Drosophila melanogaster: one gene and its partners. The protein of the gene in region 4 interacts with the protein of the main gene of each other region in a pairwise test. Each region holds a gene or a part of one and is shown on either strand. Other genes may lie near its edges.

Region 1 (8,097 bases), on a different chromosome or scaffold from region 4:
GCGTCTCGTTTGCGGCGAATTCGAATTAAACTGGCTGTGATAGAGATACCGCGACGACCCCACAAAATTGCTCGCTCTCAGATTGCCCAGCTGGTGAGCGGGCAGCTGGTGGTGCAGGGGCTGGGCTGTCTGGGTTGTCTGGGTGAGGGGCAGTTGGTGGGCGTGACCGAGGTTCGGTTGCGGGCGCATATAATCGCCGTAGTCACCGGTTGCCGCTGTGGCTGTAGCCGCCGCCGTATAGGCATCCACACTGGCCGCCAATCTGGCAGTGGCATGCAGAGCGCTCGCCAAGGCCGAGGCTGGCTGCCGAATCCCCAAGCGGTTCGGCTGTGGATGCACCTGGTAGCGCCTCGATATCGGCATTACATCCAGGGTCTCACTGCTCGCCGTTCGTTCGGTTGACGATTCGAAGGAGCCCTGCTGGTGGCTCAGCATCAGGCTGCTCTGGCTCAAATTGGCCCGGGCATAACGCAGATTGCTCGTCCCGCTGCCCGGCAGCAATTGCTCCTCCTCGTGATCCTCCGCCGGCGTTTGGGCGGCCTCTTGGTCCGCTGACTTCATCTTCTTGTGGCGTCGGGGCGGCTTTAGAGGTATCTGCTCCTCTGGCTTGGATTCACCCTCTTCAAAGGGTGGCATGGACTACTCTCGCTCTCGGATGGATCAGATATAATTAGTCTGATAAATATTCTATGCCCTCTCTTTGCGACAATAAATATTAGCCAGTTAGTATCTAAACTAGGCTAAGAATGTATCTTTTGCTGTTAGTTCTCAGTTCTAAGAAAAGCAACAAGTCCGCTTCAACTTGAATTTTGATTCTGTATACAGTCTAATAGGTTCTCCTTTCTAGTGTTAAAGATCCTAGCTTACTAATATTTCAGTTCTCAAGCTCTTTAGCAAGATCTAAAGTGAAAATATCGAAACTTATGCTCCACAAATTGTACCGATCGGCTGCCTTCCAATGTCTGGCATTTGTTAATAAATAAAAAAATATTCCATCAGGTCATTAAGGTCCCATGTTGGTTATCGACAACGCCCTGCCTCAATTATGGAGCACTTTCTTAGAACGTTTCAATTTGCCGTTGTGTTGTTGCACAGCACTTGATTCGCAGTAGTTATATTATTCATTTCTTAACCATTTGAACCTGGGCGTTATGGATTTTAATGGCTTTTCCATGGATATTTCTCTCTCGTCTGGCGGCTAAGGAATATTTATTTTATTGACGACCTTTTACAGTTTTTGGGTCTTTGGAATATTAAAGTTATTACTCTTGATCTTGGCGACTTTTCATTCCATTGTTCTTGGTTCTCGGAAGTATCAACTTATTGCCGAACTCGTGATTTAGTCTTATCGTTGTTTTTTTCTGGTTTTAGATATACATATGTTTTCTTTTATGCTAACTTCTGTCAGTGAATCACATCGACATATGTATTTGCATTGATATCTTGCGGATTTCCGAATGCCAGTAACGACGATTCACTGTACTTGGTTGGCGGAGCGCAATCTTTGTTCGAGAGAGTTCGTTTGCCACTTGTCACTGTAATCTCGTTGCTTTCAGCGATTTTCATTAGGTTCCGTTTCACTTGGTTGATTTTGCAATACTTCCTCCCATTGATGATGCTGAATGATTTTCGCTGGGTGTTATTGTTTTTATTTTTTTGCACATGACAATTGATCAACAATTATCCACACACACACACATACACGCACGCTGAAAATTTGTGACCCTCTTCTCTCACTCTCTTCACCGCTATCTCTCTGTCTTTTTGGGTGCGTTGAAATATTTACTTTTTATTTATAAACACACATTTATGGTTCTTATAAAATGTAAAATACGTGTGTCAATAAAACAGTTTTTCGCAGGCACTTGTTGCCGACTTTTTCACATGTTTTTTGTTTTTTATATAAATTTTTTTTTCATATGACCGAAGCCAAGAGTTGTACCCTAACGACTGCTAGCTGAGAGGAAAGCACGAAAAGCTAGGAACTGAAACGGAAAACAGTCGCGGATGCTGGCGACACTTCCGCAAGACAAAAAAAAAAATAAGAGCCACGCAAGAAAAACGACGAATCGAATAGTAATTCTTGCCTTTTCGCCACGAATTTAATTCAGGTGCGCGGTGCACATTCGATTCGATTTCATTTCAGCGTCCGCGTTTCGCTTTTAGCGCCTCTTGTTCCTTCGGCGATGGCAAGTTAACAACTAACTGATACGGCGGCTCTGCCCAGAGCGGTAAGCACCGGCGGTGAGCGGCGGCGACGACGACGTATATTCAAATTCGACAATCAATTTGAACGGTGCGGCCTGCCTGCGATGACACAAAAAACAACAACAGCTACTATAATGGCAATCGAACTATGACAGTAAAGCCTCCCAAGCAACGAACTTATATAAAAACATAACAATCTACGACAGAAGAAATATAGATACATTTACCGAAAATTAAAAGAAAACAACGAAATACGCCAAAAGATACAACAAATATAAACTACTTTAAAAATAATTTTGTAATTTAAAAAAAAATGCTTCTAATAATATACTAATTTTCATTGGTAAGATTTTTTTTTAATTATAGTTATTCAGTAGGACTAGCAAAAGTTCGGGTTAGTGAAGTTGCACTGTACAAAACAACCATTTCAATGAAAGCGTTTAAAGAGAGAGTGGGTAAGGAATAGAAACGGAAAGAGAGCTAGCTACCAGACAGTAAAAGAATCGAAAGAGGCGAAACCAAAACTACAGGAAAACAAAAAGTAACAAGGTGAGTGGGTGAGAAGGGGAAACGGGGCGGTTGGTAAGGGCTAGGGGCTAGTGTCTGCTGCTACTTTTGGCAATCGATCAGCGATCATCAAACTGATGAATGGGGAAGACAAATCGAGTGATTAAACACACGCACACACGACGACCCTGAACTTCAACTATCGAGATTCAATCAAGATCCAATTCACAGACGAAAAGTCACTCGAATTCACGGACACAATGCTCTAAAAAACCATATTGTGGGTCAATATCCTACGACAAGAGTACGAGTAGGTGGTAACACCGCTTATTGACATTATTAAACTGAAGTCAGAAACTATTTAAAAAAAAATGAGTCAGTACTTCATTATAGATATTTTGAGATCTACTGTATATAGTCCTTTAAATATGTAGAATGTATCCTGTGCTTTCCTGTTTGAAATATCATATTCAATCAGATGAAACTACCGAAAGCGACGCTAACACCAGTAGAAGTAGAAGTAGACGAAAACATAGGACTCTTTTTGGCCAGGTTGCGCCACTCAAGGTGTCCTCGATAAATTTGCGGTTTTGATAGATATTGGTGTAAAACATGAAGCCCTCATCATCGCAGGTGTGCACCCGACGCGCCACGCCGTACAGGAAGTGATCGCAAAAGAGTGGACTGCCCAAGTCCTGCTGGCACATATTGCCCCTGCCCGTATAGCTAGTCATGCACAGGCATCTGCTGCAGTCAGGCTTGCACTCATACTCCGAAATCTTTTGAGCTCTGATTTGAATAAGCTCGCTTGAGTAGGGTCCGTCCTGGAACCAAGTAACTGGGTTATCATACACCATGCTGAATGCGGGGCACATCGCAGATATATATACATAACTTACGTAGTAAATCCTGCCCCATCCGAGAGAGTTGCAAAGCCAAGTGCTATTCAACTCCTTTTCCGGCAGCATCATGGCAAACCTTTGGCCAGTAACGCCGCGATCCAGCTTCAGCAGAGCCAATTCTGTGCACCCACTTATGGCGGACTCGTCCAACACAATCTTCTGCACGTGGTATATGTTCTTGGGAGATGGCTTTTTCAATCGCTTGGGCGTGAAGACGACAACCCTTAGATTCTTGCGATTACTCGGCTGGTTTGGGGTGCTCTCCGGCCTGGTGCTCACACAACAGCCGGAGGTGACGACCCACCAGGCGGAGAGCAGAGAGCCGGCACAGAAGTGGTTATCACCCCAATGGCGAATGTGTTTGCGCGTTCGTATAGACACCACATTCTGGTGATAATTGTCCGTTACGTAGAGGTTCCTCTGAAGCCCCTTCTTCCCTTCATTTGAATACGCAGATGAGGTCAGAAGAAGCAGGAGGAGGAACTGCATCCCAAATAAGGCGGATGGTACATATGAATAGCTTTTTTTTTACAGATAAAGTTGACAAAGTAATCAACAGCAACTTAGTTTTTGTGGGAATTTATACAAGAATTACTATTCTCTAAACTTTTAATACAAGTTCTATGGTCCAAGCAGCAGTTTTTGCATACTCTTTTGAAACGTCGAAAAACTATTGAACAAATAAACACAATTGTTTTCTCTATCTTTTATCGCATTTTTATGGAAAACATATGGCACGAGGATCATGCTGTTGAAATTGAAAACCAACACAAATGTACAAAAAATTATTAAACTAAAATTTAATATAGCTGATCGCAGGGAAACCAAACAAGTCGATACAACTGAATCCATCGAGATGGAAAGTGCCTTCCTTTTTTGGCCATAAACAAATACGAATCTGGCTAATGTTAATAATAACTTGGCCTGTCAAATGGAACCAGTTTGCTTGCGTTTCCTCCAGAATAAACAAAATGTAACCACTTAAAAAATGTGAGTAAAAATACATAAGACATAAGTCCCAGCCGATAAAGCAGCACAAAAAACAGAAGGTGTCAGCTGGCGGTTGTTGTTTCATTTTCACTGGCAAAATTCGTATGCAAACACACACCTGGATTTCAGAGACGCCGACCCAAGAAGCACCTCCATTTCTTTGCAGCTCGATGGGTGGGTGCGTGTATTTATTATCGCCGGTTAAATAAAACAAAATAAAAAATAGCGAACAAACAAAAGAACAGCAGACGCGATAAGAGAAACGTACAACTCTTGGAGCCAATTAGACGCCGGGTTCTACAATATTTCCATGACCATTTGCAATTTCATTGTCAGTGCTGTTCGCCAAAAACAACACTGTTCAATAATTCAGCAGGTTTGGCAGTTAACTCAGTCGTCATACCTGTGATTTATACGTATGCATGTGCGTTGCGTTGTGTGTGTACTTTCGAGTGTCTGTGTGATCTGGTTCGACTTGAAACGTAGGCCGTGTTTATGTGTCAGATTGCGTGGCTTAATCAAACGGGCGCATTCAGCAGAGTCTCGCGAATTCGGGGATATGAGTAATACGTGATTTATAATGGGACTCAGCGATTAGAAGTCCGATTTATTTATCACCGTTTTCGGAAGAACATATTTTCGCAAATATACGAGGATTCGTAAAATATATAAATATATATCCGACTTACTCACTGAAAAATGTTAATCGACCGTGTTTCAAATAACTAATTTTAATAAAAGTTTATTGTTTTCAATCACTATCGACAGACAGCAAACTTGAAAGTTTTTATACCAAATATTGGCATTCTCATTTCGGCCAACTGACTAACAAATAATACTTGTTGTACAACAAATTAGTTTATGTCCTTTTTATATCGTTTTTAGACACCTAAATATAGCTTCAGCTAAATTATGTAGAATGTACATATTAAATCTGGCAGCCCACTCAGCAAATGTCATTGCGCTTTCTTCGCTTTATTTTGATTGGGAAATTTTCTAACGGTAATCACACAAAAGAGAATATTAAAAAGTAAACTAATTAATGGCATGAGTACGGTAAATAAGTTTCATGATTGAAATTCCTTCTGAATTTTTACTAAATAATCTTAAAAGTCGATCTACATTTTATATGATATAAATCTCGTGACCGATCACCGATCACAGCTTACATGATCACAGAGCCGTGATTAAACTGCTGAATGCGCCCATTGTCAGCGTGTGAGAGAGATAGTGAGTGGAGAAGGTGGAAACAGAGAGATAGAGAGAGTTGCGAGAGAGCAGCTTCCATAGCATCGCTTTAAGATTGGGGTCGTGGGAGTGGGGAAAGTTCTGGTAGACAGAGATAGGAGATTGGGGAATTGATTTGTTATTGGACTTACCTTCGCCTGGTTCTGTGAGGAAGGGGGCGGGGGCGGCGGGAACTGCAGCAGCGAGTTGCTGATGCTGGTGCGCTGGAAACCTGCGCTGTTGTTGCTGTTGCTGCCGCTACCCGTGGGACTGTTGCTGTGGTGCTGTGGATGCGGATGTGCGTGCAGCGGGAACTGTTGCTGGAACTGATGACCGGTGGCCACTGAAGTGGCGGCTGCAACGGCGGCGGCCACAACGTGCTGGAAGTGGTGCTGCTGGTGATTTCCAGTGGTGATCACTGCAGAACTTCTCGCTGCCCGCGGAACCGACGACGTGATCGGCGACTTTGTTGGCGTCTCTAGGCCCGAATTGTTGGCCGTGGTCCACACAGACATGATTTTTGGCTAGCGATTTCTCCTGCGGATTTAAGTACGTCTGCCATGGTGCACGGAAAAACAGGCAAGCAAAAGAGTAACAAAATAAGTTAGGCAATTCGACACGTCGCAAATATAAGGTGCTAATTAAGTACGATCGGCGAGGTTTGAAAGTAAACTAAACAAAAAACAAATTAATTCAACAGCATTTCGATGCTTTACTTGTGTGCATGTATGAAATGACCTAACGCGTGACGCCAACATATCGATCTATCGATTGCACTAGTGCTGCCAGCCCTGCCATCAGCTGTTACCGATATTTTAAAGCAAAAGGCGCCAAATTTCTGTGAGATCGAAATATTTGTGGCTTACTGTGTTAGTGATTTTATATTTAGTAATTGGTAAGCGACACAGGCTAATTAATCATACGCCCCCTAAGTCACATAAATTAATCAAATCGTTTGCAGAACTTTACGCCCTGACACACATTTCAAATTGCCGATAGCAGTTGTTCGGTTCTTTTCCTATTTCTTGCTCTTGCAAAAACAGCTCTCTTGCCGTTTTGGTTTGCTAATTTTCTTTCACATTCTTCCGGCGTAGTCCTCAATTATTTTATTCTTGGTCTGCCCGTGTACTAACATATGTACATACGCATTTACATATATGTGTATGCACATTGCATCTGTCGCTACTCTTTCTGTGCTTTTTTTTTGTTATCCGCCTTGAACTTGCAAATTTTGAATGAGTGCGAGGAGTGCGGTATGGTTCTCGCATAACTGTGCTATTCGCCTTCTCTGTCAGTCTTCTAATATTCACACCCACAGTTTCGCAAGTGGCTTTCTTCGCTTTTCCACCCCTTATTCTTTGCTTGTTCTGTGGTTTGCTTTGGGAATTAATTTTAATTAATTTAAAGCGAGTCATGTGCCGATGAACAGACCTAGAACCGTTATCTATTGGATATGCCCAAAGCGCGAGCACTCACGTATGTAAGTATGTACATCCATATATCCATGTATGCATAGTAACAGTCGCGGCCAAAATAATAGGGGCTAAACCATAAATGACCGATATACAAATCTTCTTAAAAAACTCATAATTAACGCCGCATGACATGATAATCTATAAATGTTAGCTCTGCAGGCTAAAAAACACTCTTTAAAAACAAAATTTATATTATTGTAAAACACCTGCAGGAATGGAATGTTAAGTGGTAAATGTTTTCAATATCTTCTTTGTTTATAAAAATCTCAAAAAAAAAGATTATAGGTTACAAATATTATTTTAGTCTATAAAGAATAATGATGGCTTTTAACATAAGCAGTTCTGATTAGAATTTTGAGCTATATTTTTAGTGCATACTTTTCTGCACCCATAACTAAAATCTCTTTCGGCAAAATACAACAGTTTCAAGGAAACCAACAAGTAGAACTGAAAAAAGATCTAAAAGTTTTTTAAACGATAGTGTTGTAACTATAAAATTATCCTTCACACTAACTTTTAACAAAACGGTTTGCTGGAAAAAAAAAGGTTATTCAAATGAATTATAAATATCATCGATATTCCCTAACTTAACCTATACGTCTGTCCGTAGCTGTATGCGGACGTATTAGAAATTCCTTGTGAACCGTGCGTCGCCTTGAAGGTGTTACAAATGTGCGCAAATGCCATTATCGGTTATCAGGCGGCTATACCATATTTGTTTGGCATCCGAATAAGCGGGTCAGCGAGAGGGGTTAGGGCCCAATAATAATAATAATAATAATACACAT
Region 2 (8,406 bases), on a different chromosome or scaffold from region 4:
ATGGCAACATCTCAAACATGTATCCGCTGCTGCGAGCAGATAGATACTCGCATCCATATCCACAGATACATCGCCGTTGGTCCGTTGCTCCAAAGAAGTGCGACTTTTAACATCCAACTGTTCCCGCTTCCTTCTGTTTTCTCAAATCGAATTTCAAATATTGTACCTACATACGATACGTATATGTATGTGTGTGTGTGTTGAATGGGCAGTGTGTTTGGGCCACGTTTGGGAGCCATAAAATAGCGCCACTTCTCGAAATCGCACTTAGCCGGCTAAAAAACACGACTCGACTCGGCCCGGCTTGGCTAGTTAGTTAGTTGGTCTAACTTTGATTTTTTCACCTCGCCTTTTACAGTTGTAACACATAAATATTAAAAAGCAGCAGCCCTAACTGTTCATCGTGTATGCAGATCAAGATGACGCAGTAGTCTCATTCAGGGCTAAAGTTTCTGCATTCTGAGTAAGCTATTAGCTGAACCTATTTGAGTTTTTATTAGAATGGAAGTTAAGACTTTACAGAAATATATTCTAGTAACCTATTTAACCACTTGTCTTACTTATATTAAAGTTTTAACTGGATGCAAAGTGTGTTTATACTTTCAAAAATTTAATTTTGATTTAAATTAAATTCACGCCTAAATCCATTACTAATTTTCCCATCGAACATAAGAAAGCTGGCAAACATTTTCCAAAATCTGCGTGTTAACCGCAAAACTGGCATAAAAACCTATCCATGTTCCCAAATCATTAGGACGCGTACTAATAGGGCATAATTTTGTTATCTATCATCGTAATTTAGTTTCGGTCCTCCATTTGCTACCTGGCCAAAATTGCGATAGTGTTAATACGAAACTGTAAACATTGCAGTGGCAACACAGATACACAGGACGCAGATACGTAGATTTACATCTGGCCCGAAGCGAACATTTTAGTTGGTCCGGCGAGAAAGAGGAGCGAAACGAAATGAAAACCGCACAAAGCGATTAATTAATTAAAATTGGCAAACATGAATTTATCGCGCAAGCAATTTGCACAATTTGCGCAAATCAGTTTGCCTGTTTTTGGGAGCGAACGACGCGATTTCTCCCGCAAAATATATGGACCTGGCCGGAATGGCCAGCCGAATGGCCAGAAACGGACTTTCATGGCCGAGCACTTGCATCCAGATTCGCCGTCAGTTGCATGTGCATTCAGCAATGTGCATAATTATTGAAATTTGGAAATTGTGCGGTTTTTAGCAGGACATAGGCTTTGGCCTTTGGGCCTCGAGTTGGCAAACTACGATGCAGATCGCTCCGATTCGGTTTGGTTTGAAATGGAATGGAATGGCATGGCATGGCATGGCATGGCATGGAATCTGGGCTGCTCCAACAACTAACCGCAACTGGGAACAGAATCCGCAGCAACCGCAAAACATTTCAATGCAAAGCGGATATGGCAGTGGGGGGTTAAGCGGTGTTCAGCGGGGTTAAGCACACATATTTCACTAGCCTAGGCCACCGCAAAAATGCCGAACGCACAAAGCGAAGCACGCGCAGATATTTCGTGGATGCAACGGACGGGTGGGGGTAAACCTGAAGGGGGTCTGTGCAAATTACAAATGCAATCATGAAATTAATTTAATTAATGCGAGGCTCACGAAAAAAGCGCCCAAACGAAACGCCATTCGAGCTCCTTTCGCTGCATGCAAATTAAGCATTAGTAGGGGAGAGACAATACGAATCCGGGGAAAGTTCTGCCATTTCTTTTGCATGCAAATTGCTCTTAATTGTAAAGGGGTGGTTAGGGGGGCATCCACTTTTGCCCCTCTCGGCCACGCACCCAGTATGCAAATGTTTTTTGGCCTCTCTGTTGTGCGAAACTCGGAAAAAGGCTCACGAAATTTATTATGGCAGACTCCAGCACTGCGGGCAGGATTTGTCCAAAGGATTCCGCACTGCGATTCATTGAAATTTATAGTTCTTCGTGGGCAAATGGAGCTGGCTAAAGTTGAAGCCGGCGAAAACTTTAAAAGCCAACTTTGGCAGTCGCAATCCATGGCAGATAGCAAACCGTCAGATCAGTTTCGCTTGCTAGCCCTTAATTAAACACCCATCTTCAATGGCAACTATGGACATTACGCATACGCCGCGTGCACCGAGCGGCGACAATTGGCGCGTGAAAAATGGCAATAAATTAATAAAAGTAATTAATGGCAACGCTTCGAAGGACGCAAGGATGCTGGCAATAAAAATTGAATATAAACGCGAGCCATAACTCATCCATGGCTGCTGCAGTTGCAGTTGCAAATGCACTTGCAAACTGTATTTTCTGGTAGTGTTGGACGGCTAACAACAAATTGATTGCCAAAATTGAAAGTGCTTGAATCGTTGATCAACAGTGTGGTAAAAATAATTTATTCACCTGCACACACGCACATACATATGTACATATGTGTATTCGGAATTATTAATATATTAATATGAGGACACAAGTACAGTTTGATAATTATGTGCGTGCGCCGGGTGAATGTGTGAATGTAATTCACAATTTGCGGCATATTTAAAAGAGCAATTATATCAATTAACACAAACACACCCACCCACACTCGATTCGGAATGGGCATAGGCATATGGGAATGGGAATCGGAGAAGGTTTGCCGAGTTAGTTAAATACACAACTTAATTATTGCTAAATGCACGCGACACCTGGCGCCATCTGGTTAGACGTCTCAATTATAGGCCATTTAGCAGACATGGGAGATGCGATGGCAATCGCCAGATCGGAAGTACGACTAACTACCCCTCCGATCTTTTGTGGGTGTGCTCAAGAAATTAGTTTAATTATGGCCAGGCGGATCGTATGCCATGGATTAATACACACATTATTATACATTAGCGCAATTCACTTGGCGATCTTAATTGCAACATTATACGCAGCTCCCGCCCGCAGCCCGCACTTAAAACGCTATCGAGGATTGGGGGCGTAACTTACCCAGCACATTGGCCCCAAGATTGTTCAGCATGTTTGCCGAGAAATTGCGGATCGACAGAGTCGACAGTTTGTCGCTGTTTCTGATTGCTGCTCCGAAAGTTAGGATTCGGGATCCAATTTGATTGAATCGGGAATCGATATCGACTGGTGGTGGCGGAATCCCAATGGGAGTTCCTGCTCGTATACTCGTCTATCACAGAACGTTGGAGTTGAAGTTCACCTGCGGTGCAAATTACATCTCAATTGTTCGGTGGAAATGGGTGTGGCTGCAAGTAAACAGATTTGTTATTTTTGGATGGGTGGCTTCTGCTCAACGCAAATATAAACATACATAGGTGACTTTGTGCTTTTTTGGAAGTACTTGTTAATTTTCAATACTAAAAGTTTTTAAATTGACAAGAGAAAATGGTCATTAACTTGTTTAGCAAAGTTTTTGTTTATGTTTATAGTATACAATCATATGCAATAAAACTGCTTACAATGTATCAAGATTTCTGGAATCATAAATGAATGTTTGATTTTTGTCTTGGCAAAACATTTAAGTATACTAATTGCTCGTGTGTTGTGAATATTTGGCCCAGCCCTCTCTTGAACTTTGACCCCTGTCAAATGTCCAGCTATTTGGGTAATTTAACTATTGTGCGACTAACCAGAAAACTAAATCCGTTTCACTTTCCTTAACCGCAGAAACTTCTGCCGAAGTTCGATTGTGTGGGCATTTGCATTGAGTTTTATTGCTCATTTGGCCAAGGACTCACCTGGCTCCTCCTATCGCTCGTCCTTTTTCCGCCTCCTTGCTTTTTGTGTATGCCACAGGGTTATGGGCTGGGGTCAGAGTTCAGGCCAGCAGACGATCAAATTGCCATAGTAAAATTAATTAAATGCCTTGACCATAAAAAAGCCAAAGAAATTAAATCCAAGTCACTTGGCCGGAAGTTGAAAAGTTTCCTTAGCTCCCACACACACACACACACACGCGCACAGCTGGCACACACACACAATCGCACTCACAGACACGCAGACATGCACAGCTTAGGGACACGCAATGAAACGGAAGTCGAATCGTTTATTGATGAACTGTTTGACCAACTGACAGCCGGACACTGTCCGGCGGAGGACACGGCTTGCTTCCACCTTCGGGTGTGGTCACTCGTCCTTGTTTTCTACTGTTTAATTGATAGCATTTTTACACTTCGGGCACATTTTCACTTAGTTATTCCTTGGCACTTCCCAGTTAGATCAATTCGGTTAATGGTCTCTGCCAGTGCGACGGCTTTCTAGGCACTAGCAAACGGAAACGGATCGAATTGTTTCGGATCGCACTATTGTATCGTATGGGAGCTGTACGCCGTATACGTAGCGCTGCTCGCTTGCATTTGAGGGCAGTGCGAAAAAATCAAAGCGAATTGACTACGAAACCTGATAACTTCGACAACAACGACTGCGCACTGGCGCCGCATTCAATCGCCACCCCCTCGCACAATTGACGGTTAAGTCAAGCGTTATCTCTGCCAGCGGGCTTATCTCTCGCATTGATTTGCAAAAATCGCAAAGAGCACACACCGTGCCAGTGCCCCGGGCGGGCGAGGAAAGGAGACAGCTAGCTGAGCCCACAGCCATCTTGCCGTCGAGCCAAGCATGCTGACTCGTTCGCGCTTGCCCTGCCAAGTGGTTGCTAGAGCGGGTCGGCTATACTCGCTGTGCGTAGGCCAGACCACGCCCTCAATGCAGACCAACGAATGAGGGAACTCGGGAGCTTGTGGCCCCGAACGATAGCACTTTTTGGCGCCCTCGGCGATAACAGGTCCTGCCGCCTATCGATAGGCGGGCTATCATCGATGCCGAAACAGACCTCGATTCCCCTCGAAAAACTTCAACTATACTCCACAGCTGGTCGCGTTGGCAACCGGCGCTTGGGCCACAGTTATTGCTGAAAGTCCACTCCTCCCAAAAATGCGCCTTGAATTCTTACTCAGCGTTGTTGATGCCACGTGTCAGCTTTCAGCCTCACCTGTTGTCGTTTATTAGTTTTTGTTTCCGTTTTTTTTTTTTGCCCGTCTTTTTGCTGGAGGGGAAGTACCTCCGACATTTGGCGGAATTTTATAATATTTTGCATGCTGCACAAACGTTGAATTAGCCAGACAACGGAATGCCGGGCGAAATAAGAGTTTGTCATGGCAACCGCAATTCAAAGGATTTCCACCCCACTTCCTGCGCCCAGTTCAAAGTCCTCCCACCGCCCCTCAAAAGTCTGCAAATTATGTTGGCCTTCTCCCTCCGACAAATACATACAGCTAAATCGGGGGCGTTAATTAAAAACTCTAGGTAGCAATTAAAACCACAAGAAGAATGCAAAAAATCGCAGCAGTTGTAGTTTGTTTTGCAATGAGCATAATTCAAGGTTCACACTTGTGCGGGGTGACAAACGTTCTAAAATAATTTAAAAAATTTAATAAGTGGCGTAATAAATTTAGATTGATAATTGTACACAACCTATTAAGTCTTGTATTTCACAAACTTGCATACTAACGTGTGAAATACTTATAACAATCCCACACAAATGTCGAAAACATCGAACAGAAATTTTTCTGTTAGTGTATTATAAAGTAAACAAGCCGAATAAATCGTGATAACATCTCAATTCGTTGTTGGGCTCACTTATTAGAGCATATGCATCACTTTTCATTTTTTTTCCTTTTCTCACATGAGGTACATAAAAAAACTTCGAGTGTGTTAATTAATCAAAGGCGTTATCGGCAGCAAAAAGAAAAATAAATTTATGGGAAATGTGCGGCGTAGACTTGTTGAATTTCGCCATATTAGCCAAGGATTAATCATCTAAGGAGTCTCAATTAGACCGCATTTTGAATGCCTGGCATGAGCATGTCGTAAATCACTTTGGCCAAATCCGGGCAGCAGATAGTGACTGTGACCAGGACAGCTGCGAAATCCTTGAGTTGCCGGGACCGGCATACCAAGAAGCATGGCGGAAAAAAAAAGCGCAGCTCAAATGCAAAGGATTCCGAATCCTTCGGCATGCACGACGTTCTCTTTTGACTTTGTTTGGCAATCGTTTAAGCCCGGAAAGTCGATGATGGAGATTTCAGTGTGGAGGGCTATGTGTGGAGAACCAGAACAAGTACGTGCAGTCAAACAGATTTCCAGTTAGCAGCTCACAACAATTCGCTTTTAAGCCAGCGCATAAATCAACCTCAAAAGATATCCCCAATTTTTCGGGTCAGGGGGATGCGGCGGGCGAAAGCGTTAAATTTCGAGGGGGTAAAAGTTTTTTTTTCTCGCCTCCGCGGCATTTTATTGAAAGGATAATCGATTGCAGCAAAAATGCTGGCAAGGCATTAAAGGATTCGACTTTGGGCAACTTTAAAAACTTAACCCAAGGCGATGTCGACGAACTGAGCGATGTGAAATGCTGCTCTTTGCGGTCAATTTAATTGAATGATGAATTGCGTCGGACACTTGGGAGGTGGGGTTCGGATGCCGCAGAAAATTCTTCAGTTGTCACGGGTACTTGTAGCCGAAGGATGAGATGAGTGGAAAGAGATGGGACACTTGGGGCGGCGTTGGAAGGAGCCAGAGAAGGGGCTACGACAAAGACGAATACGCATAATCAGTCAAAATTTATGACAAGCTCGAACCCGAAAGTCAGCTTAAGCATTTAATTGGCCCAGGTCCAGTTGGCCGTCCCCCCAGGACAGTCCTAATTAGCATGGGCATTCATGTACATGATGGAGTCCATTTTTTGTCGCCTCCCACTACTCCACGCTCCGCTTGCTCCTAGGCTGCCATGTGTTCCCGGAACCCAAAGAGATTTTCACTGTTTCTCGACTCTGACTGATGAGTCCGCTGGTGAGCTCGGGTGTAATTTGTCTAGGCCAAAAAAGGGATTCTGGCCTCCTTGACGGGCACAGAGCGAGTGGAGTTCAAAGTTTGCTCCTCCAAAAAAAAAACATCCTTTTGTCACTGCCTTTCATTTGATTCGCGCTGCAAGGAGGCGCATAAAAGATAGATAAATAAGAAAAAAAAAACCCTGAGGAGTGTAAAACCCAAAATGTTGAGCTTAGTGCAGTTTCGTGTAACGCATTATTCTTGCTTAACATTTGTCTGTTTCTTTTCTTTCCTTTGTTTCGCTGTTGCCACTCTAAGCCAGTTTCAATACAGTATCAAGTTGCACTGAAAATTGGCATAATGTCTGAAGCTAAGTGCGCTTACAACTAAAAACATAACTACAAGCATTAAACTCAAATATTGAATTAAAGTTCTCGATTCTGCTTCGCTCGCAGCTGCAGAATATAGTCCTTCCTATGATATGTGCAGGCAAATATGAGCATTAACAAATATATATATACGTATATCTATATGTATATATTTTATCATTACAAGCTAAAAACTCTCGCTTTCTTTGCTTAGCAATCAAACGACTTTATTTACTTGGACAAATTAAATTGAAGGGTTAATATACGTGAATATTTAAAATCGAAAGATCCTACGCTTTTGTACTCATTATGTTATATAATTCAATGTTAAATAGAGTTATATTTTATTTCATTTTATATAATAAGCTTTGGTTGTTGAACTCAATAAAAGCTTTCTGTAGATTTTATACTTCTAAATGACACGCTTTTGAACACATTGCAGCGACATCTATCGTCAAAACGAGATCTGCCTGTGTTTCCAGGAACGGCCGGGCTCATCGTTACCAACGGTAGATGGCGCCAGTGCAACATTAAGGACCTTTTCCAATTTCAAATCATATTAATCTCTCAAAGCGCTGTAAGAAATAAGAAATGTTTATGTCACCCTTACTAATTCTTTTTATCTGAATAAAACCAAATCAGAAACTGCGCTTGCTTAGAATGATAATACCAATCTTTTTGTGTTTTAGCTCATCTTTTAAATACTTAATGAAATCAATTAAGTGACTGATGGCAGTGCAATGGAATTGAATGGAGTGATCGATAGTGATCAAAATTAGCTGACATCCGATAGCAATCTAACGATTTGTTTTCCACTTCCAACCCCGACCGCTTTCCATCCCTCTGCATCCTACAGGCGTTCTTCTGTTCCTGTTCATGCCAATGATACTATTATTTAATGGATCGATCTCGCAGTAACCTCTTGTTCCACTCGGGAAGCCAACAAAAGCGGATGGGAAGTGCTCGCTTTTGAAAGAAGTGTCTTTCAGGCTGAAACAAGGACATTATGCAGCCGGGCAAGTAGCAAACATTGTCAACAACGGCAAGCAAAACACGTCAACGCCCCTAAGCTGCTAATGAGGGCAACTGTGGCTAGGCTGAGGCTGTGAAAACAACACAGGAGTAGAGAAAGGACGCATGCTGCGTTAAGGATCAGGATCACATTCGCAGGCAGCTGAGATGCAGAGAGAGAGAGAGAGAGAAAGAGATAGAGAGG
Region 3 (6,758 bases), about 17 Mb from region 4:
AAGCAATGAAAATTCCGACCTACCGCAATAAATTCCGCGGAAAAACAAAGCAAGTGATGCCAAAATAAGAGTGAAATGGCCAGCTCACACACACACATGAATGTAAATGAAGTGGAATCACCACCTCAGAAAAACTCAGGGACACCTCAGACACGGCCCTGTAAATCGCGCTTATCCAAAACACAACATGGCATCAGGAGGCATTGGAGATTCAGTTTCATTTTCATTCAAAGATTGAATAATAGAAGGGGGTGTTCCATCCCTACCCCAACAACCTTTGACCTGACACAATGCTCTACATTCTATGTTTTTGTTCGAGTTGCGCGTTCGAATCGCGACTGCGCAATAAACCTGATGCCCCAAACAGCTGTTCTAGGCAAGACCTAGGACAACATTTGCATCCTTAACTGGAGGCTGGCCATCCACGTTTACATTGACGTAATCCACTTGCCAGGTTGGATCTATTCGGTGTTGAGATATATCACAAAGCAGTTCCTTTTGTACTTTAATTCATTTTATTACTGAACAGCTTATAATAAAAATTCTTTATGTATACGAGAGCTTAGTTGGTTTAGCCCCGGCCAAGGCAAAAAGGAATTCGAACAGCAACATATTTCTCCAGCAGTCTTTTCCAGAAGGTTGATCTTTAAATTGACTTGTTACCGCTTGCTGCCGTATTAATGCCTATGATAGCGGGCGCTTCACCAGCCGCAAGGACACGAGCTGCAGCCACCACAAGGACCACATGGACCACAGCAAGGACTACAGCAACCTCCACAGGGACCACATCCGCAATAGGGAGTTCCTCCCATCAAAGGAGCCAGGCAGCCGGGTGGGCAGGGTCCAACGTAGAAGGGATCGAAGCTGCAGCAAAGCATCAGAACCATCTTGAAAGTTTGGATTTGGTAAAGGACACTGGAATCTCTTCTAAAATCTGCAGGAGGGGCTCAAAAGGTACGGCTGCAACCATTCAAAACGGGGTTTGTTATTAACAAAACATTACCAAATATTTAAAAATTACTATAGGGAACAAAGCAATTTTACAATTTTTAAATTGTATAACTTTTTTATTCAATTTTAACGAACTAGAACGTACCTGGGATTTTTTTTCCTGCTGAAGAAATACGTTGAAGTTAATCCTTGGCTACGAATTTAGAATTTTTGTTCAATTTTTCATATTGTTTTTTTTTGTGTTTTATTTTACGAAAGAGATGTGTTCAGTCCAAGCTGTTCAAAATGAATGAGCTCTCTAGGTTTCGAATCCCACAAAGCCCACAAGATGAGTGAAGTTTATTTCCAAGGCCAACTAGAGAAAACTAAAAATTTCCTTTTTTTTGCTTTCTATTCGACATAGTTGCTGACTAGATCCTACTCCTCTTCGGTTAATTCTGCCGCTGGCGGTGTTTCAGGTTTTACTACTACCGGTTCCGAGTCCTTTTTATCCTTTTCGTCTTCCTTGGAGGAGCCCTCGGAATTATGTTCACTGCCAAACTTAGGAAGCAATGGTCCTACAAAGGCACATGCCTTGCCTCCAATACTTTGTACCACGGAGCAGGCGCCATCCATGCGATCGCCCTCTACTAGAGGAGTTTCGCCCTCGACGGCGGACAGCTGATCCGCCACTGGACCACCGCGCCTCACAAGGTCAGCGATCGGATCACGGGTTTGGTTTAACACCCTGCCACCCACTTCAGTTAACGAACGGGAAACTACCATAAACAGGGCCACTATGCCCGCAACTCCGATGGCCGTGTGAACCATTTCCATATCTTGGGCAAAGGAGCAGGATCTTCTGGAGGATCAGGAGGGTCGATGTCGGATTTTTCGATCGACCACGATGACAAATAATTCTAGGGCTACTCTCCAGCCATCGCCGAGATGGTATTATAGGTCGAACGGGCCAAGTTTCGGATACTTCGCGAAATTTCATTTATCAGGTAGTTAATGTCATCCGAACTGACCACCTGCTCCTGGTCGACATGGTGCTCCGGCGTTGAATCGTTTACAATCAAGACTATTTTACGAACGGGCTGAATCATGCCGGATACATCGATCACGGGCTCCGACACATGGTGATCAACCAGAAATGCCTGATGCATGATGATCACCAATTGGCGGATTACTGGCACCACGCGATCGAGGACGTTGATTGCCATTGGGGCCAGTACGTGGTGTACCACGTGATCCACAGACGAGGACATGACCAAGAGACTTGAATTTTGAATTTAGAAAACTATTTTCACACAATTTGCGACCTGATAAACTAAAATTCCCAGGAGTTCTAATTTGAAATCTAAGCCATTTCGATTGGAATATTTATATTATTTCCCCAGCAATATTCAACAGTTTGGTGACGATGAATCAATTTTATTATTTCTCTACATAGATGTGTGCGAGGCTAATTGGTGTGCAGTTTCAAAGTTCAACTATATTTGTTCCCGCCGTTATTCTTGCATTTTATACAGGTACTCGTCTCGTCAATAGCTGCTATAGCAACGACTGTGCCAGCCACCGGGGGTGTATCCTTTGTAAATGTCGAAGTTGCACGGACATACTGCGCATCTCGGATAGGGGCCAATGTAGAAAGGGTTTATGGCCGGAGTCCAAGGACGACTTAAGTAAACCATTTTCAGCACTCGAAAGAAGTCTGCAAATCTTATTTTATAAATACATCTCCCACATTTTCTCTTTCGAAACTCACCGGAAATGGAAGAGAAAAATGAGAAATTTAAACAAATGTTTGACCAGAACAACACGTTTCGTGCTTGAAATTTGAATGAAGAAAATGCGTATGTACGCTTATGTGTTATTTTGTTGACATTTAAATCAAGAATGCTGGTTTAAATTTATTTGACTTCATTTTAGATAGATCATAAGAAAATGAATTAATTTTATCTGTATTTTTTATCCACAGTTATTTTGTGCTAAAATAGAAAAGAGCTGGTAATTTGAGGTTAATATATATTATTATTGTTTTTATTATTTATAGATATTCATTTTATTTATTTATTATTATTATTAATTTTTTTGAAATATAATGTTACAATATGACGGTTCGATGCCCAGGAGATGATGAGCTAAATGGGTTTAGCTCAAGATGTTTGAAGATATTAGCAACACACAACAAGGTTGTGTGTTCAGCACATCTCCAAAGGACTCCTGGTTCATTTTTGCAGCTTTGCCTTTTTCCCCACTACTTCTGTTCCCGGAGCTTCGGTTCTTTTTGGGCTTTCTGGTCCAGTGGTTGCTTCGCCGCGTCCTTGTTGGATTGTGGGGCGGGATTGCATCGGGGTAGTTGGGACTCCGGGCAAACTCCGCACTCCGGAACCGTGCAGTGGCCCTCCTCCAAGCAATCGGGGTCACAGCAGGGCGGATCGGGTCCAATGTAGCCCGGATTAAATATGCAAGGCATGCTGCAGCACCTCCACTGAAAACGAAGGTCGAGGCAGATGGCAGTGGCAAATTGGGTCCCACTTTATAGATTTTGTGAATTTACATAGATGCTAACTGGGTGCAATTTTCGGGCCGAGTGAGGCTCATAAATGTTCTCATTTCCATGGGTATTGAAACACAATGGAACGGGTAACTAGATGCCCGAGTTGCGCAAATCTCTAAACAAAGCTAGTTAATTTCGTACTAGAATCGATGCGAATAGCTCCCACATTGAACTCTATCTCCCAAAATCCGAATCAAAGTCCAATCGCCCTTAAAATCACCGGTTAGTGCGTGCAGAACGCTTATAATTATTTCATAATCGGGCAACACTTCAGTTTTATGGTGACAAAAGCCAGCGGAAAGATAACTGCAACTGCAGGCCATCGAAACTGGGCCACAAATGGCTGCAGGCACAAATATGGAATTTAAGTTGAAATTAATGAATAATTAAGCTGCTTTGGGCAGACGCTCGCAGCGGAAGTACAGCATTTGCATAGCTAACACAATGAACTACATACGGCCGGACAAGACTTGGCCGTTCATAAATTAGATATGCAAATGTAAATGCGAATGGAAAACTAACGGCAATTCCTTTGTCAATTAATCAATCAATCAACGCAGCCGCTCGCTGCGATCCAGAAAGCGATGCGGAAATCACTTGTCCCACATATGTACCTCTGCCCCCGCCCAGAAACTCCATCCATCGCCATTTCCCCCTGGCCACTGCATCTAGCTGCATCTGGCTGCATCTCCATTCATCTACATCACGCATGCCAATTTGCCTCAGCACGGTTTTTGATTGCCCGCTAAGTTCGGAGCGTTGTGAGCCCCCATCGATGCTTATCCCCCGGTTTTAAGGCGATGGCAGAGTCATTAGCATCAAAGGGCCATGGTGATATGACCAGCGCTCCTGGCAGCTCATCTGCACTGTGGTCTTTGCAGTGACCCAAAGAGTTTGAACCGAAGTGCTTTGACTTGGGTTAATTTGTGGGCTTTCAGCTTGGAAAGTATAAAAGTTTCACATGCATTGTTCAAGCACACAAAATACCGACAAAAAGACCGAAAAGGGTTTATTTTAATTAAATTGGATGTGATAAATCGAAAATAGTGATGTTTATGATTGAGGTAGATAGCATAATTTTAGTCAACACTTTAAGCTTATCATTATCATTAAAATATAAATAATTTTTCGGATTCGACCCACTGTGCAGCGTTGTCGGCTTTCAATGTCGCCGGCTGCAGCCATCAAAGTCGTGTGCACTATTTGTGTAATTTATATTCAAAGCGTAACGCGGTGCGTCGACTGCGTGTGTAGGTGGGTGGGGAAATGGGCGGTAAGTGGGTGTTGGGGCGGAGTGCTAGGGGGACGGTTCACTTGGTGGTTTTGGGACCGGTCACTCCGAGCAAACGGACTCTAGTGCCACTGAACTAAGTGCAGTCACGCGAACTGCTTTTAAGTGGCATAAGCAGAAGAACCCAATTCCTGCATAACCAATGAAGTTAAATATATTAGCTTACTCATTTTATTGCTCAGTTCTATAGACTAATAGTTTGAAACTAATGTGCAAAATCAATTAATTATTAAGAGATTCGAATGAGAAGCTCCTGTAACAACACATAACTCTCAGTGTAACCCTTAGATAGAACCCATCCACACTGCGACATTGTCTATCCGACTTCCGTTTGTCGGACGTAGTTCTATTACTTCTTGGATTCCGTTTCTGTTTTTAATAACTCAAGTTCGAACCCAAGTAGGCACACTTGTGCCGTCGTTACTGTTTGAGAAATGTATTGGAGGCCTGACAAAGTGACCGGAAGATGATACTGCAATAAAAAATGAGCACCCACGCAGCGACATGGAACACCATAGAGTGTTTGGCTTGGAAATAGAAAACCAAGTGCTGGAAATGAACATGAACCATGTTTTATATGCTCTGTGAGTTGTTGGATTTTCACTACTCGTAGTTTTTCTTCTTTTTCGTTAGCCATTTATTTACAAATGAACAATATTTATGGCCTCTTTTTGAAAGAGTTGCGCGGTCTGTGTGTATATATTTTGGGTTCCTATGCGATGGGGCCAGACTTCCGTCACAGCCAAAACATGGAAACGATCTGTTCATACTGAACATACATAGTTGTGTCTATTATTTTGTGGTTTTATTTCGGTTTTATGCGCGGAGCGTACCAAACATCGATTATGAATTACAAACTCTAAACGGATGGCAATCAGAAATGGTTTTGCTGAATAAATAATTCTAATTTGCCAGCAATTATGGGCTGTCAAATACGATTGTCCACTGATATGTTTTCGATGGTCGCGGAAAGTGTGAACTGAAGAACAATTAATAAATTTATAGTTTTGTGGTTACCGGAATGAAGTTTAAATGAATAACATTTTGGGTTCGGTTGACGGATTTGTCTAAGCTCATTACAATTGAGTTTTGCTTATGCTATCCAAAAAATGAGGTTTCAAACTTTATTGTATACTCTTAAAAACAGACTGGCTTGGGCATGAATTCTTATATGTTAATCCGGCAAAATATCCATGGATACGAAATCTAGATCTTCGAAAGCCAACTGGATTTATGGCTGTATAAGTAGCTAAAATTATTCCCAGCCTCTTATTACATCTAGCAAGTTGCAATTAGTGTTGTCACGGGAAGAATTTATGAGGAGCAATTGCAGAGGCTAAAACAGGAACCCTAAACGACGGCACTTAAGCGATCATAACTTTGCCCATGATAAATCGAACTGGAATAGCCTGCAGAAATTCCAGATTCTGGCCATGCAAAGCAATTGGACAAGTGGACAAAGGCGGTTACAAAGGCGAGGAAGTGGCCCAAAGAACCTCGAGCAGCTGCTGCCGCTGAAAGGCGAGACCGCTGAATGAATTGGGCTGTCGTTGTCTTGGCAATCAGCGCTACCGGGCATAGAAAGTTAACACACCCGAAACCGGCTTCGGTTTCAGTCGATGCAGCCAGTTGAATTTGCCAGTTGATGCACTGCAAAAATCTGCTCTCTTCTATACATAACTGGATATAGAACATCTATACATAAAAATCCATTTAATACAAAGCTAGATCAGTTTTAAGGCGTATTTAATAAATTTAAAAATTAATTAAATTTATAGAACAATTCTTTACTAGTCTATCTCTAGTTTTCTCAGTGCTCCAAAGTTGCTGCTTGCCAGTCACAAGTGGCAGGTTGCCAGTTGTCGCTGCCGCAAGAAACTTGCCTCCATACTGCGGCGGATGTGAGTTCCTGGGGTAGCAAGAGGAGCAACTGGTGGAGAGGGGCTTCTAAGCGTTTAGCTTGGCTTTTGC
Region 4 (8,219 bases):
CATTTTATTCCCCGGACAATATTTAAATACCAAATAATTAAGCCATCAGACTTTCCGCACAAAGCAATAGCCTAAGGCTTAAGGCTTCCAACCAGAACTTGTTTGGAGGATATCTGTCAATTGATTTCGCACTTGGTTTTATTATACTGTCCTATTCTATGGAGCCCTGAATTGAAGCATTATCCAAAAATATCTTCCCAAAGCAAATCAAACAACCCGACAATCCCTCCCGTAGCCCAATATCAAACAGCCCTGACCAAAGTGTGGCCTTGTTTACGCAAATACGAGCCCAAAACAAGGATCTTTGTGCATGTGGAAAAAAGCAGCTGCTCCTGATGGCTGTCCTCTGTCTCTTTCCGACGAATCGCTATCTCTTTCTGGCTTAATTCGGCGATCCATTTGTCGACCATTTTGGTTTCTCCTCACGCCCCAGGTCGCTCCTTCCATCGCATCTCATTCATCCGCACGGGTTCTCGGTTTTATTGCACCTTTTGTCCCATCCAGCCCTCTCTTTCTGATCCGATCTTTCCGTCTCTTTCTCCTCCCCGCCATGCGTAATCGATGCAATTTGCACGCTTACGCATATCGCAAGATTAAACTTATCCCTGATCCCTGAGCTGACTGATCCCTTGATGCGACTGCCATTGCCATAAATTGCTTCTATTTCCTACACTGAGAGTCTAAATGTCCAAAAGGGTTAGAACTGAGAGCTGATGAGAAATTTGTAAATAAAATTAGGAACATTAAAACTTCGTTGTGAAAACGCCCATAAGTCGTGAGCCACGGAATCGAATGGGATCCGTAGGTAGGGCAGGACATTTGGAATATTCGAGGTTTGATTACCCATAAACTATTTCTCTTTGTGTACCTCTGGGATCCGCTGAAAAACCTTCGACCGGATCAACTGCGCGACGTATAAAACGATATTTGGATTAAACGTTTAATTGACTGCTGAGCAAAACCGGTGTGACCATATAGAGACATATCCAGGGGTTGCTGCTGCTGGCGGGGATTAGAGCCCGATTCCGATGTCGAAGCTTCATTACCATATCAATGTCGGCAGCAGGCGACTCAGCCTCAATCGCAAATCCTCAGCACGGGATTTGGCTGCTGAATCCGAAGAATCTGATTCCGATTCTGGTGCGGATTCTGCTGCTGATTTCGATTTGGCTTCTCGAGGAAATTCGCTTAAATTTTTAACAAGACAAATACGCAAAGCACACGCCCCTCCCCCGTCTATTTTCCATCTCTCCCGGTTTTACCGCTTCTGGGAAACAATCATGGAGAAAGGGAGAGAGAGAAAGAGAGAGAGCAGGGAAAACTTTTCTAATTTTGCACAACTGGAAAATGTGGCCGTGGGCGTTCAAAGAGAAATGGCAACAGAAAATCGAAATAAAAATCATCATCATCGGGAGGGAGCCAAGAAAAAGTTGAAGATGATGATGGTTTTTTCCACATTGTTTTTCCCGCTTTTTCTCCGGCGCTCAAATGGAAAAGTAGAAAAACCTTTTATTCCACAATGTTTGCTTAGTCCTTTGCCAATTGAACTTTTTCGCACAGCCAATCGAAGGGGTAGTGGTACTCAGCCAAATACAATACTTAGACAAGTTAATTTAATTTTTTATTTAAAATTCAATCTGCGAACTAAAACAAAAAGTGCACAGCAAGTGGGGAAAGAATTCAGGTCAGAGGTCAGAGTAGGTAGAAAAGGCAACAAAAAGTTTCATGTGAAAAAACAAGTTGAACAAATTCTGTGAGGAAAATAATAGAAAAAAGTGCGTCACATCTTTTGAGCTTAGCGAGAAGCGCACTCCCAGAGCTTCCTCCTCTTTTTCCATTCTCAACTCAATATTTCCTTTACATTTACAACATCGTCATCATCGGTTTTCCCGTCGGGAGTTGTTGGCCATGTAAGAAGTTCAGTGTAAAGGCAAATAGCGAAGCCCAGAGAAAACTGGGCGGCAGGATCCACTAAGAATCGGAGGGGAAAGAGGACCAGAAATATCCTGGTCCTGCGGTCCTTGGCCTGCTTAATTATTCAATAATTTCTAAAAGCATTTGGCCACATGCGACGTCATCAGCCGTCATCCTTTCATCCTTTTACGGCATGTGACAGGACCGCCCCTCTTCTTCCGTGCGCCCCCGTAATCAGTTGAACACATATACCCCCAACACACACTAAAACATCTGCATTTATGTAAGCCTCCCTCCCTGGACCCCTCCTCTTTGTCCATCTTAGTACACAGAGCGATTTGGGTGCCCTTTAAATACTTTCTTATTATTTAAAGATATTTCGAAACCACCCAATTTAGTAGTCAGTGTTGATTGATAATTTATCAGGAACGCCTCGTCTTCCATGATTCTCCTAGCAGAATTAAGTTTAGTTAGTATGTAAAGATGGACCTTACTTGGGAATTATTTCTCCAAGTGATCCCCATTTTTCACCCCCACATAGGTGACATTGTAAGGACTTTTCGGTTCATTTGCTTTTCCTGGCTGGATTTCCATTTGTGATTGTGGGTGTGGTTTGCAGAGTTGCATTTATCATTAGTCGTAGCTTAGCTTTTGTTTTCCTGCATTCGAGTGGACGAGGAGGGGGGGCATATCTAGGGAACGAACCCTGGCGGCCATTGGGGATTTTGCACTTGGGCATGTTTGATGTGGAAACTTTAGATTAAAATATTTTCCTATGCACACACACGAGGTGAAACAATAGCGACGAGGGTCACCAAAGTGCCGTAGATTATTGAATGAGCGCTCCCAGTCTCCCTCCAGTGTAAGCTTCATCTTTATGTACGAGTAGTAGCGTGCTTCTTTCTACATAAAACGTTCACCCCTTAACCCTTTTCAAGCTCCCAACGTCTGCAAGAATGATGATAAAGATAAAGCTCAGAAAGGGAGAAAGAGCAAGAGCAGCGCTTCTCCGTGGGCGGATTGAGCGCATAATGATGTTTATGTGTTGCCAGAAACATAAAAGCATTAATTTAGTCATTATCTTCTTAAGATACGGCGCCAGCAGAGGCAGTGGAGTATCAGAATCCCCTGAACGCGAGAAGAGAGCGTCAGGCTTTTTGCCACCCATAATTTCCATCAGCATTTTTATGCTACCCCTGCTACTCACTCTGAGTGAAAGCGAGAGAGCTTCTGTTGCCATATCCTGCGCACCCGCTTCCCTTCTCTATCGCTCCCTCGACAGCTATCTCTTTCTGTGGGGGCCGCGGGGTCTGTCAGTGATGACTTTATCTGTATAAATAACTGTCAGTGGCCAAAGAAAGTAAGTAGAGAGCGCAAAAATACAAAAAAATACATGGAAGCATTGGTGTGAATTGGGTGGAAAAGGAGGGGTCTGGTGAATGGGGCATTATCTCTGTAGCGCCATCTTTATCCTGGACCTCCTGCCAGCCTTTAACCTGGAACACTGCAAGATGGGGGCCCGACACCATCAACCACCACCAGCTAGAGCGAGAGAAAGAGATACAGAGGGAAAGCAAAAAAGGGAGGGAGGATACAGAGAGAGGGAGAGGCGTCCAAAGCCAGAGAGTATTGCCAAGCAATATGGTAGCGTTGAGGGCGTGGCTTCACCCCGATTTCATTGGCCAACGTCGAAAAATGTCCGCTAAACGAGAGAGCAGATGTGAGTTTGTATCTGGCATCTGAGAGTCTGTATCTATATCTGTCGAGGAACTGGCCTAACGACTACTCAATCGACAACTTGTCGGGCGGAACGCTCTCACAACACTTTCGCAGCTCGAGCGGACAAGAAGGGTTCCCGGTGGCAGAAAACCTGTGGAAATAATAAAATATAAAATCACGACGCGATTGCAGTGCGTGTTTCTAGTGCGGTTTAGTGAACTTGGCATCGATCAAAACACACTAATCCAGTGAAAAAAACCTAGACTTAATATTCGCAACATTGCCACCATTACTGAATTAAAAAAAATTGTAAAGCGCTTAGTGCTTCAAAAGTGCCGCTTCATTAAAAAAAAATCAGTGGGGAAGAGACTTTTTCCTACTCGAAAGCTTCATAGACTTCTTCAAGATTCTCTCCTCACTGTGGACCCCTGGAGGAGGCGGTGGAGGCACCACCACCACCACTCCCAGCACCACGCCCGACATTCCGCCCTCGAAGGCCAAGTTCAAGATCACCGTCGTGAGCACGCCCAGCCCCTCCCCGCCGCCTACGCCCCCTCCGGCTGGATCTATGCTGGCACAAATGGTAGAGACAAATTCCCCGCCGGCGGGTTACACCCTCAAAAGGTCGCCCAGCGATCTCGGCGAGCAGCAGCAGCCTCCAAGGCAGATCTCGCGATCTCCTGGCAACACGGCCGCCTATCACCTGACCACCGCCATGCTCCTGAACTCGCAGCAATGCGGCTACTTGGGCCAGCGATTGCAGTCGGTCCTCCAGCAGCAGCACGCCCAACACCAGCAGTCCCAAAGTCAAACTCCGTCCTCCGATGATGGCAGCCAGTCAGGTGTCACCATTCTGGAAGAGGAGAGAAGAGGAGGAGCCGCCGCCGCGTCTCTCTTCACTATCGACAGCATTTTGGGCTCTCGCCAACAGGGTGGAGGCACCGCTCCAAGCCAAGGCAGCCACATCAGCAGCAATGGCAACCAAAATGGACTCACCTCGAATGGCATCAGTTTGGGTCTGAAAAGAAGTGGCGCCGAGTCCCCAGCCTCGCCAAATTCAAACTCCAGTTCTAGCGCAGCCGCCAGTCCCATCCGACCGCAGAGGGTTCCTGCCATGCTGCAGCATCCTGGCCTGCATCTGGGTCACTTGGCGGCTGCAGCGGCGAGCGGTTTTGCCGCCTCTCCCTCGGATTTTTTGGGTAAGTCTATCAATCCCCCTATACTGAACGCACAAGCCCCCTCAGCTGAATTTCATTATGAAGACAACTTAAGACGAAACCAGTTCAAAGGATGGTTCTTTAGATAAAGAAATTTTAACATTTTGAAATACCTTATTTCATGCATCTAAACTCTGAAATCACCTTAAGGCAGCTCACTCATGCAGTCAGGAATCACCCATTCAGCCACTCACCCACTTTTATCCTGACATCCTCATCCTCTCCCACTCAACCGAACCACACCCATTCCGAAGCGAGTCCTGAATGGCATTATTCATAATTAGGCAATGATCCGTGAAAGATGATTCCGCATTTCCTCTCCATTTTCCTTCGATTTTGCGGTGAGAGGATTTGCATTGGGCTCTAAGTCTTAGCTTGGGCCGGAAAAACCAGGGAAATCCGGGATGCTGGGGTGGCTTTAAGATGGGCTCAGGCCTTGTGTTGATTCGAGCGTGGATCTCAGGCGCAGATTTATGCAGAATACCGCTTAAATTCATTCAAAGGCTCCCCCGCAGGACATGAATATTAAAAACCTGGTCGCAACTTTTTTCCCCAGCTTGCTGCAACCGGAAACGGAAGCCACACATACGTTTACAGATGGGGTCAAAGGAATAGATCCGTTTTTGCAATATGTTATCCATATATCATTGTAATATTCTTCGTAACGATATTTACATGTTTTCCAAGTACAACATATGCTGAAGAGGGTAAATAGTTTTACATTTTACTTGAACTGATACCATTTTTGTGTCTACTGTAAGCCAAAATGGCGGCAGTTTTATTTTGCGCGGTTCGTTATGCGCATTTTTAAGGATTTACCCAGGAATATTCCACTTACACCCATTCCCGTGGCCCTCTTTTCTCCAGTTATATGATGATGATATGACTGTTATTCCAACCAGGGAATAATGAATTTTCCTTTTGTTTTCCCTACAGTGGCGTACCCCAACTTCTATCCAAACTACATGCACGCTGCTGCGGTGGCGCATGTGGCCGCTGCTCAGATGCAGGCACATGTGAGTGGAGCAGCCGCTGGATTGTCGGGTCACGGGCACCATCCGCACCACCCCCATGGGCACCCCCACCATCCACATCTGGGCGCACACCACCACGGACAGCACCACCTCAGCCATCTGGGTCATGGACCTCCGCCGAAGAGGAAGCGTCGCCATCGCACCATCTTCACGGAGGAGCAGTTGGAGCAACTGGAGGCCACCTTCGACAAAACACACTACCCAGATGTGGTGCTCCGGGAGCAACTTGCCCTCAAGGTGGATCTCAAAGAAGAACGAGTTGAGGTGAGTTTAAAGCTTCTAATTTTTAATGCCGAAGAAGGTGTAAAAAAGGGGGCAAGACTAAGTTTAAAGCATAACTTTATAGACATTTAAAGTAATTTTTTTAAGGCCGCTTTGTCACCACAAAAAAACAATCAATGCCTGGCTTTAGCTTTTGATCACTGTGTTCTTCCTAGCAGCCGCCCACACTCTGTGTTTAACATTTGGCTCTAATTTCACGCTCGTTTTAATTCCCCGCGTGAAACCAATTGAGTGCTACACCCCCGCTCCTCTACACTCCACTTAACCAGAATCAGATTCCGAATCCGAATCTCTGGCATCTGCATCGCAATCTCTATTCTCTCCAGCGAGATTCTCCCTCTGAGAACTTCTACTTGTTTATTTAGTTGTCAGCGGCGTACATTTTGAGGGGCTTCTTCGCCGGCGAAAGCAAAACAATGCCAATCCCAATGATTCACTTAATTTGGGTAATGGGACTCGGGATACAACCGCATGTTTAAACGGATGGTGAGGGTTATTTGCTCGTCGGTGGTTGCCACTGCTGAATCGTATCATTGGTAATGTAAATATGCAGGGATTCCGCCTTCTGCGCCCTTGTAAATCCCACCCCGGGGGATGAACCATCCCTTTAACATCGGCAATTGTGATTCAAAGTCCATTAGTGTCGAGGAAACCCAACAACAAACAAACAAATTGAGAGGTCACCAAGGAAGAAAGTGACGACAAAAGTTGACAATTTAATTTGTTCACATTTTTGGTGCATTGATGGGTGGCTATTTCGCGTCTTTGATGAGGATTATCCACGCTTTCCGGGCTACGGGCCCCGGGTTCCGGGCCCCCTTAGTTTTCGTTTCCCTGGCAATATGTTTGTCAACCGGTCAAATGTTTAATCTAACCCATCCAACCCCATCTCACCCTCACCTTTCGCAGCGCAGGAAGGCGGACAAGTGCGACATTTGTTGACACTCGAAGGGTTTGGGCTTATGTTTAGCCGTGAGCCTAAGACAACTTACACATTAACATTACTAACCATTTAGGATAATGAGAGGCGTGGCGTTACTCAACCCGCAGGCGAATTGACGCCCGCTTTTTGATTAGGCGACAAATTTAACCCGCGGCGAGCATTGGAATCCAAAGCGGATTAGAATGCAGGTTGTAAGTTGTAAGTTGCGAGGTTGTTAGGCGGGAGGAGTTCTACAATAGGATAAGCAAATGAAAAGCCGAGGTGGGGAAGATTTTCCAGCTCTTCAACTAATTGGAATTCAGCGGACTCGAATCTGCTGGCTCACGGGGGCGACTAATTAACATACAACACACAAAAAGAGACTTCAAACTTGTCTCTGACAAGCAAAGTGGATGAGGAAAGAGACGGCAGCAATCGCAATCCCAATCCCCAAGCAAATCTTGTGCTCAGTCATCGCTCGTCATTGACTTAAGCAGCATAATCAACTTCAGGTCTGGCTTCCAACTCGGAACCCCGGCTTTTGTGACTGCTACTGTTTAGCATATTTGCATGCCAAGAGTTGCCACTCGAGGCCTCCGAGCCCCCCGATTTCGGGACCGTCTCTCTAAGACCCCAGCCGCTCCATAAGTGGCAATAATTATTGAAAATCTTGCCTAAGACAAACAGCAGCAATAACAAAAGAGAAAACAAATGAAAAAAGCGAACAAATTCGAAGCCTACACATCCGATGCTCTAACGGAAAAGAGTCCGTTCGGTCGATGATCAATTGGGTACCAAAGGCTACCCATTTACACACCAAAAGCCAAACATGGCAACTAAGTTACGTCTATTAGTTAGGCTTGGATATAGTCTAGATATAGCTAAGTGCATACCAAAAGTACCAGAAAACAAACACCAGAGCTCCGGACCAACGTCTCGTAACTATTCAGTTCCCATCCTGGGATCGTTCGGCATTTAAATGATCTGCTTATTTTGACTTCATAATTTACAATTATTATTTTTATTTAGCCACTCGAGGCGAGGGTCGGCCGGCTTGGGATCGAGCCGGATTGGATCGGATTGGTTTGTATGGGATTGGAACGCCAAACAGTAGCTCTACCTGTAGAGCAA

Evidence for each region.
Region 1: the proteins of Gsc (region 4) and Orai interact in a two-hybrid assay, tested with the Drosophila melanogaster proteins (one large-scale study listed by BioGRID).
Region 2: the proteins of Gsc (region 4) and otp interact in a two-hybrid assay, tested with the Drosophila melanogaster proteins (one large-scale study listed by BioGRID).
Region 3: the proteins of Gsc (region 4) and CG31740 interact in a two-hybrid assay, tested with the Drosophila melanogaster proteins (one large-scale study listed by BioGRID).

Annotation. Positions count from the first base shown.
Region 1 is NT_033778.4:17,849,350-17,857,446, reverse strand, and holds the start of Orai (orai), read right to left. Parts: upstream 6,586-8,097; 5' UTR 6,350-6,585; coding exon of another isoform or gene 5,987-6,349; intron 4,153-5,986; exon of another isoform or gene 4,107-4,152; coding exon of another isoform or gene 3,186-4,106; exon of another isoform or gene 3,151-3,185; intron 2,308-3,150; 5' UTR 637-2,307; coding exon 1-636. Other genes in the region: CG30323 (uncharacterized protein), read right to left, coding at 3,186-4,106. UniProt on the Drosophila melanogaster protein: Pore-forming subunit of inward rectifying Ca(2+) release-activated Ca(2+) (CRAC) channels.
Region 2 is NT_033778.4:20,899,052-20,907,457, forward strand, and holds the start of otp (orthopedia), read right to left. Parts: upstream 4,364-8,406; 5' UTR 3,735-4,363; intron 3,243-3,734; 5' UTR 3,008-3,242; coding exon 2,977-3,007; intron 1-2,976. UniProt on the Drosophila melanogaster protein: May be involved in the development of the central nervous system.
Region 3 is NT_033779.5:18,003,437-18,010,194, reverse strand, and holds CG31740 (uncharacterized protein), read right to left. Parts: upstream 1,243-6,758; 5' UTR 1,097-1,242; intron 961-1,096; 5' UTR 888-960; coding exon 702-887; 3' UTR 501-701; downstream 1-500. Other genes in the region: CG42635 (uncharacterized protein), read right to left, coding at 1,369-1,767; CG42634 (uncharacterized protein), read right to left, coding at 1,857-2,201; CG42659 (uncharacterized protein), read right to left, coding at 2,478-2,627; CG5693 (uncharacterized protein), read right to left, coding at 3,194-3,412.
Region 4 is NT_033779.5:590,201-598,419, reverse strand, and holds the start of Gsc (goosecoid), read left to right. Parts: upstream 1-3,734; 5' UTR 3,735-4,039; coding exon of another isoform or gene 4,040-4,213; coding exon 4,214-4,832; intron 4,833-5,786; coding exon 5,787-6,148; intron 6,149-8,219.